2 linked regions of the Rattus norvegicus genome follow. The protein of the gene in region 2 interacts with the protein of the main gene of each other region in a pairwise test. Links are inferred from orthologs where the notes say so. Each region holds a gene or a part of one and is shown on either strand. Other genes may lie near its edges.

Region 1 (4,455 bases), on a different chromosome or scaffold from region 2:
GGAAATAGGAAAACCTAGATGTGGCTTGGGAGAGGAGGGGGCACGAGGCGTGGCCAGGCCAGGGGAAGACGAACAGCAAACCCGGAAAGCTGGGGGTGATGACCGCCTCGGAGGCGTGGCCATGAGGTGGCGCTAAGGATAAGCAAGCAAAGCCAGAGGGGGTCAGCAGACAAGCCAGGCGTGGCTCTGACAAGGAGGGGACTCAGGACGTAGCCGAGCGGTGAGACGTGACGAGCTCAGGCAGATAGACGCCTTGTAGGCCCGGCTGAGGAAAGCTACACGCCTAGAAGGCGTGGCTCCGGCGGGCAGGGAGTGGTCCTGGGGCGTGGCCAGGGGAGCCAAGGGACCAGGGGACCAGGGGACCAGGGGGCCAGGAGGCCAGGGGGCCAGGCTGAGGAAAAGCAGCAAACTCCCAAAGTTGAACTCCGGGAGAGAGGTAAAGAGACAGAGACTAAGAGCAGCGGGTGTCGCAAGCGAGACCAAAGTACTAGCATTTGAAAAAGCGCCGCCGAGTGGAGGGGTGTGGCCAGGGGCAGAGGAGCAAATTGGAGGCTGTCAGTAACAATGGAAGGCGTGGCTTCAGTAGGAAGAGACCAAGGCGCGCGTCTTTGTGGGACTAGAGCCGAGAAGGCTTGGCTTGAGCTGGAAAAGGTTTAGGGTTGTTGCTAAGCAAACATCATCCAAGGACCAGACCGCATATCCAGAAGAGATGACTTGAGCAGTGAAAAGCTAACAGAGCAGCAAACCCAGAAACCATGACTTGTGTGGGAAGGGGCTCAAGAACCAGGAGTCCTAGCTGGGCCTTAAGACCAAGTTTGTAAAAACCTAGCTTAGGCGTAACAGGGTCCGACATAGGGGATGGGTGGGCGGCAAAGGGAGAAGCTGGGGGACTTAGGACTGGAGTAATGATTAAGAGCAGGAACGAGGTCTAAAAAGCATCGCTGGAGACAGAAACAAGAGCTGAACCAGGAGCTACGTGTGCAGCTCAGTGAGAGAGCCCTTGGCTGCTAACATGCTAGAAGGTCCTAGGTTTGACCTCCGACACTAAAACAAATACCAAAACAAAACAAGAAAAACAAAGCTCACTCTCCAATATGGGAGTCGGGTAGAGCCTGGGAAGTCTTTTCGGAACGGAAACGAGGCATTGGAGAAGAGATATTGGAACAGGACTTCATTCGAAACTGAAAAGTGTGACTGGGATGGGGATGAGGAGCCAGCAGGACAGCCAAGCCAGGGAGGCGTGGCCACAAGCCGCAATAGAAAGCAAAAGTAATGCTTTTTGCTGCCTACGCATAAGGATAAGATTTTGTATAAGTCGTATTAGGTAAGCACAAGGCCCTGGGTAGACTCTTTCTTGAGTCAATATAAGCTTACCTTGCTAAAAGTCCTGTCTGCTCAATAGAGGCGAAACTGGTCAAATTTAAGGGATTCCTCTCCCTTCAGCTCTTGCGAGTCTGTAATCTGGAACAAAGTGTTCCTTGAAGATTAAAAACAAATGCAAAAGATCTTTCCCCGTATGCTGTTTCCAACATTTTCGCAGGCAGGACACGGATACGCGGAGTGGAACGCATCATGGCTTCCTGTCCAGAATACGACTTAGTTTTCATCATGCAGTCTGCACTCCTGAAGTCTCTGAAACGGTCACTACGGTCAGAGGGGAAAGACAAGCACGGGGTTTGAGGCTGAGCTTTGAATGAAAGCAGAAAGCCACAGGCCCTGCATGACTCCATTTCCGCACATCTGCAGCCGGGATTCTGCGGTAGGAGACTTGTCTAGCTTGGAAATGGTCGATCACGCCGCCGCTGAGATCCTTTAGGTCTCTTCCACAATTAAGGAATACCAGTTCTAGCGTCGGCTTAAATCCACTCTTAGCCAGTCTCAGCTCCTCCAGACTGCGCAACAGAATCGCAAATCTTTGCTAGCCCGGAACCCGGAAGCACCTAAGGGCCGGTGTTTCCGTTATATCACTTCCGCTTCCTGTTTCCAGCCCTAAATCCGGTCAGGATTCAGCGTTCGAGCTACAAGTTGTGTCGTCGCTAGGTTCGAGGACATTGGAGGTGAGAAGGCTAAACGGAGAGGCCGGAGATCGCGGGAAGCTGCCAAGACTTGGGAGCCTAGGGGTTGCGGGAGGCAAAGCCGGGTGAGTCTGGGGCTGGGCCTGCCGCAGTTAAGGGGCGGAGTCGCGACTGTCTGTGGTCCCCGCAATTGAAACTGTAGACTGGGGCTGCAGAGGATTTGCGTCGGGTGTTCGGGGAAGTGTGACCAGAGAACTTAACCCAGGAAGGGGCTTTGGGAACCTGGGCGACCCTGGAAGTCCTGACTGCTGCTTTTCATCCCTTTCTCCACCTGGTGTAGCTCCAGCCACAATGATTGAGGTGGTTTGCAACGACCGTCTAGGAAAGAAAGTCCGCGTTAAGTGCAAGTATCCACCGAGGGGTGACTGGCAGGGTCTCTGGGGCAGATGGTGGTATTGGATGATTTCAGTTAAATGACGCTTATGGGGAGGCCTGAAGTCGTCTTCCTCGGTCTATCTTTTCCTTTCATTTACCTTAACTCCTTCGTGCCCAGCACCGATGACACCATCGGCGACCTGAAGAAACTGATAGCGGCTCAAACTGGCACCCGCTGGAATAAGATCGTTCTTAAAAAGTGGTAAGTACGCGCTGGTCAGTATCAGGCTAGAGGGCGTTCGTTGGAGCGAGCACCTCAAGACAATCCCGAAGAGCTTGTTTTCAGGACAAAAAACACCCCACCCCTTATCAGCTTCTCTCTGAAAGCTATCTATCCCGTAGGTACACGATTTTTAAAGACCACGTGTCTCTGGGAGACTGTATCCTTTCAAGAAAGAATTCACGTATTTATCTCAAGTTCTGGTTCTGTGCTGAAACCTGTACAGAAATTAAGCAAGAGGGATGCTTAACTTAGAATATGCCCCATTATGACTACTGAGAAAATGGAAACTGTGGAAATTATTTTGCTGGTGAGAAGGATCGTTGGCGAAATATACTTGGTTCAAAATACTTATTTACTGAATGCCAACTTGAGTGTTGGACAGGAGGAGTGTGACTGTAGTTGAGGAGATGGATGGATGGATGGATTGATGGTTGGGTTTTTTTTTTTTTAATTTGGGGAGGGGAGGTCTGGATCTTTTGTCTGCAATTATGTCTGTGCACCGCATGTATGCCTGCTGCTGGCAGAGACCAGAAGGAAGCTTCAGATTCCCTGGAGCCACCACGGGAGCTCTGGGACGTAAAGCCAGGTCTCTGGGAGAGCAGGCCTGAGAGCTCTTCAGCTGCTGAGCTGTCTCCAGCCTGAATAACCATTGACAATGTATTGTTCTGTGTGTATGATGGGGTGGGGGCACTTGAGGATTTGACTCTGTACACCAGGCTTCAGTGGCAAACAACTTTGCCTTCTCAGTGGTCTTAAGGACCACTGAATATTATTTATAGTTTGGAGTTCTTAGATCAAAGTGTCCATTCCTTAACCCAGGGCTGGGTGTTGAGCCACAGGACCCAGCTGTGAGTAGATGGAAGGTAGATCAGCTCCCAGTGAAAGTTCCTTAATGCTTGCCCTTCAGATGAGATCCACGACGGGATGAACCTGGAGCTTTATTACCAGTAGAGGGGACTCCTCCCTCCTCCCCTCGTCTCCCTGCTCTGCCCTGCCTTCCCCTCCCTCCCTCATTTGACACTGGTATAGATGGTCATTTTTAACAGTTCACATGAATAAAATTTTGCTGCTGCTTTGCTGCTGTCATGCTTGTGTGAGAGCTGTGTCCTGAGGGAGAGCTGGTGTCTGCTGTTAGGTACTGCTCCTGAGGGGAACTCAGGACTGACCGAAAGCTGGTCCTGGCGGTGCACACCTAGCATCTCAACAAGAAAATTTTGTCTTGGAAGTCTTGTATAGACCAGGTTACCCTTGAACTGGCTGTGTACCACCAATGATCTTGACTCCTGCCTCCACTTCGCAAGTGCTGAGACTGAAAAGGGCCTGTACCACCATGGTCTCATTTTTGCTCTTAAGGAATTGCCAGGAGCTATGGGTGCCCCATGCATTATTTTCATCCACCCACTACATCTTCCCATTTCAAAAGACTCAGATTTAGGGTAGTCTTCCCACCTTAAATGATTCAGTGGAGAAAAAAGTCCTTCACAGGTGTGCCCAGCCTGCTTGGCTTTTAGTTAATTCCAGATGTAGTCAACTTGACAACCAAGAGTAGCTATTACACCCACATATATAAATAAGTACATATTTACGTATATACTACTTGGATTTGAATTTTTGTTAAATTTTTACTTATATGCATGTGTGTATGGAGTGGGGCCAGTCATCCATGTACCACAGTGCACATGTGAAAGTTAAAGGACAATTTACAGGAATCAGTTCTCCCCTCCTACTGTGACAGTCTGAAGGTTGGAACTCGGGTCATCAGGCTTGGCAGTAATACTCTTC
Region 2 (4,296 bases):
ATATTCAGTATTAATGTAGTAGTCTGTCCTTTCAGAAACACCTTTAGTTTAGTGACACATTCTCCTGGGTGAAAATCGGCTCTGGATGCAGTCATCTACTTGCCATCTACAGAGTAGGAACATACATTTCAAGCCTCTGGCTGGTGGTGCTGTCTGTGTAAGTGGAAGTGTGTGATGGCACTGTGTTACTATGTTGGTCTGGAATTTCTTCTGCTTTCCACCTTGTCCAGATCCTGGCCTTCCTTTAAGACGCTTATCTGCTTCCAATCTTTGTCATGGATTCCTCCTTAATCATTTTAAGCAAATAGAATTCTTTGCCTTTCCTGAGTCCTAAGTGTTCATTTGCACCTTTTCAGCATTTTTTGCATTGTCTATTTTGATTTTTTTTCCTTTTTTTTTTTTTTGTGAGAAATCTTAAATTGTTCACTTGTTGTCAATTTGCCTTATATAATTTTATTTTGTCTTCCATAGGACCTGTGTGGAAATAAAAAAAGCCAATTCACTTAACAGTTTTACTGGGCATTTAGTGGATATTTTTTAAAAAATTAAATCTGTTGATTCTGTCTACCATGTCCACAGCTTGTATAATTCTATAGTCTTTAATCTCTAAACTTTGGTCTTTGGTTGTCATAAATTGGAAAGGTCCTTCTCATGCTAGCTCTGCTCCTGATAGTATCACCGCCCCATTTTTTTTATTGTTGGTAGATTGTTTTGGATTGTCAGCAGGGCCAGTTTCATGTGTATTCCCATTAAGATTATTATTAGTCTAGTTTTTTTTAATGATAGACTTTGGATCTGGTGGGTGTGTGATACTTTGTAAAATTAAATAGGATGCCTGTAGAAGTGTGGCTAGCTTCTTGTTTTTCATCTAGATCTCTGCTTCAGACCAACTGTCTCAGGCCCAGAGTTTAATCCTAATAGCCTGACTTGTTTCTCCAAAAATTAAGGAGAACTTGAGAATGACACTAGGCAATAAGAAGGCCCAGCCTGAATTAGATGCCAGTCTTGTTGAGTAGTAGTCCTGGGGATATTTCTATTCCTGCTTAAACCAGCACCCAGGAAAGAAAATAACACCATATTCTGGGGAGTGTAAAGGGGTTGGCGGGGCAGTGCAGCAACATCTGTCACTCCATTGCTTGTCAGGATTATTTAGCTGATTTGTCTGACTGGGCAGGTGTCCCCTCTCTCCCCCAGTGCTCCATGTGCATCCCTCTTGAAGCTTCGCACTCTGTTGAAGAGGACACTCATCCCAGGTAGAGGGGGGATGGGAAACTGGGCCAATTGAATCTGTCCTTTTCTTACCATCAGATCAGGACACTCAGCTGGGATCCATTGACTTCCTGAGGTCCATGGCCTCCGTGAAGTTCTTGCCAAGTTTTGTTTATGCATTTGTACGTTTCTTGGGGAAAAGGGTCTGCACCTTTCTTCAGGTTCTTGGAGAATCTGTAGATGCACTGTGGCACTAGAAAATGCTGTTTGCTGTTTCTTGGGTATTTTTTAAGCAAGAGTCACAGGAAATTAGAGAGGCAAGTAGAGTGGGAGGATGACCACAGTCCTGAACTCTTTCTTGTACAGAAGGTCTGTTTAGATGTATTTGGTACACGAGGCAGGCCTCAGAAGTTCTGGTCTCTGTTTCTCAAACAGGAGTAATAGAAAGCTTAGACTTAGAAAAGAGAGGAGACAGATTAGATGACATAGGGCAGGAGTGGCAGTTTGAAAATACCTTGGTTTTGCCACTAGCAAGCTCTGCAACAGTGCTATATCATTTAGGGATCTTAATCCAGTTAGTAAATGAAAAGGGCTGAAAGACATTTAAAGCTCCTCATGTCTGTGACACACATTCTGGAAGAACTCTTGGTCAGGGATATTGAAACTGCTCTTAGTTTAAGGGAAAGGAATCCTCTTTTGCCTTTCTCTAAATGCATGGCTCTGAGAGAGGAAAAGGAAGCCAGTTTCAGATGCTGCCTATGTTGTACCATCAGTGTATTTCAGAACAGGTTCGAAAGTTTGGTCTTGACTTTTTAGATGGTAAAGGAACATTTAATCTTCAGCATATTGTAATTGAAGCTTTGTTCCTTGGTATGAAATGGTTGACAGCAATTTCTAATGTATGGGATTTTTTTTGAGATGGTTTCTTGTGGCCCAGGCTGGCTCCAAACTTGTAGTGTACCTCAGGATGGCCTTGAATTCTTGATCCTCCTGCCCTCATCTTCCAAGTGCTAGGATTAAAGCATGCCTGGCTGTAGCAGTTTTATATGGAAAAAATATGGACCTATTTGGTTAAAAATTATTTCTTAAGCATTCTTAGATACATATAAATTTCATCTCATTGATTTGAATTTTCCCTTTTATTGAGTTAGCTGTGTAAACCAAGAATTCTTGAAAGTTTTGTTTGAACCACATTATTCCAGAATGAAGAGAATAATTTGAAATCCTTTAATGTGTTTGCAGTCACTATTTAGAAGCAAGATGCTTGAATGAGAGAGATTATCGGGATCGGAGATACATTGATGAATACAGAAATGACTACTGTGAAGGATATGTTCCAAGACATTACCATAGAGACATTGAAAGCACTTACCGGATCCATTGCAGTAAATCCTCAGTCAGAAGCAGGAGAAGCAGCCCTAAAAGAAAACGTAACAGACACTGTGCGAGTCATCAGTCACATTCGGTATGAGTGATTTGTTTTTATTTGAATGGATTGATCGTAAAGCTCTAAAAGAGTGATAAGTTTCTAAAAGTTGCTTAATGCAATTTGGATATGCTGTAATTATATTCATGTTACTTGAATCCTTAAAGGAAATGTACACGTTCTCATAATTGACCACCTGTGTATTATTTAGTCTTCATTTTGCCCACACACTCATTCTGCAAAACAGATCATGAGTTTGTTGGTTTTAATAGTAAGAACATCTTATTTTGTGGTTGTATAGTGTATTAAAAAATGAGGCACCCATTTTTTCTTCTATGAACGTAAAGTTTTTTTTTATTTTGAAAGAAACTGCTTTACTGGTAGTTGGAAACAACTCAGGCAAGTCACGCTGCTGGGGTGTTTAGCTGTTGCTGACTCCTGTGTAGTCTAGCTCCTAGCACAGTAAATCATTGTCTGCATTAATTTGCTGAAGCTGTGAGCCTGGGTGCTGAGCGGAAAATGTACTGAGAAAGTCTTTCATTTGTAAACTTTGAGATACCATTTCCCTCCCCCAAGTCTTCTCAATAGACCTAGCAGTTAGTAGATGGAAGATTGAAATTGGTCTTTACTTCCCCCTCTTACTATGATGTCCACTTTTAAATGTTGCTAAAAGAGAACAAATTCAGCTAATGTGGACATTTTCCTGACTGACTGAACAACTCAGCTCACAGCATATGGTTATAGCAGAATTAGTAACTCGTGACATTGCATTCTGTAGACTGCAGACTTCAATTAATCAGTATTTTAAAGAGACAATTGTGTTGTTTTTTTCTATTGCCACTTTAAGTATCTTATCTGAAAATCTGTTCCTTGCCATGTTTTTCTTCTGTAACATAAACTGTGCCCTGTGAATTTCTGGGGACTGAATTTGAAATTGCTCCTGCCAACTGTTCGTGGCCTGGTGCTTATCTGAATGCCTGAATATCTCCCCGCTGAATGAATTGCGTATTCTGCCCTGAATTCACTCTGATATATTGATTGGCTGGACGATCTTGGTGCTGCCCACTTGCCGTTCCAGAAGAGCCACCGAAGGAAAAGATCCAGGAGTATAGAGGATGATGAGGAGGGTCACCTGATCTGTCAAAGTGGAGACGTTCTAAGAGCAAGATGTATAGAATATTTTTCAACACTTTTTAAACTTTGCAGACAGAATAATCTTTTAAAGAATAGTTTGTCAGCGGGGGGCTAAAGACTCTTCATTGCTTTTTTGTTTTGTTTTTTGTGGGTTTGTTTGTTCTTTTGTATTTCTTCTTTTCTGTAGAATTTAAATATTTCTATTCTTAAAATTCCAAGATAATCAGTGGAGTTTGAGATTAGAGCAAGACAGATAGCTCTATCTAATTGCTTTGTAGCAACTGAAAATGCCATAACTTGAGCGATGAAACCTTAGTTATGCTTTGCTAAAGATCATTTGGAAATATGCCACACTTAAGCATTCATTGTATGAACAGCTGGGTACTTGTGCTAAAGTACTTAGATCTCTCTTTCTCTCCCTCACTTTAGATGAAATCGTGGACACTTTAGGTGAAGGGGCCTTTGGCAAAGTTGTAGAGTGCATTGATCATGGCATGTAAGTTTGCTTTTTCCTTTTTGAACATTCT

Evidence for each region.
Region 1: the proteins of Clk4 (region 2) and Ubl5 interact in a two-hybrid assay, tested with the Homo sapiens proteins (2 studies listed by BioGRID and IntAct). The link is inferred for Rattus norvegicus from reciprocal best matches to the Homo sapiens genes CLK4 and UBL5.

What each region holds. Positions count from the first base shown.
Region 1 is NC_086026.1:27,457,699-27,462,153, forward strand, and holds Ubl5 (ubiquitin-like protein 5), read left to right. Parts: upstream 1-1,966; 5' UTR 1,967-2,140; intron 2,141-2,355; 5' UTR 2,356-2,366; coding exon 2,367-2,422; intron 2,423-2,568; coding exon 2,569-2,652; intron 2,653-2,792; coding exon 2,793-2,830; intron 2,831-3,580; coding exon 3,581-3,624; 3' UTR 3,625-3,760; downstream 3,761-4,455. UniProt on the Homo sapiens protein: Ubiquitin-like protein that plays a role in cell proliferation and sister chromatid cohesion by associating with spliceosomal proteins. Participates thereby in pre-mRNA splicing by maintaining spliceosome integrity.
Region 2 is NC_086028.1:36,031,825-36,036,120, forward strand, and holds part of Clk4 (dual specificity protein kinase CLK4), read left to right. Parts: intron 1-1,194; exon of another isoform or gene 1,195-1,200; coding exon of another isoform or gene 1,201-1,253; intron 1,254-2,451; coding exon 2,452-2,674; intron 2,675-3,713; coding exon 3,714-3,804; intron 3,805-4,198; coding exon 4,199-4,265; intron 4,266-4,296. UniProt on the Homo sapiens protein: Dual specificity kinase acting on both serine/threonine and tyrosine-containing substrates.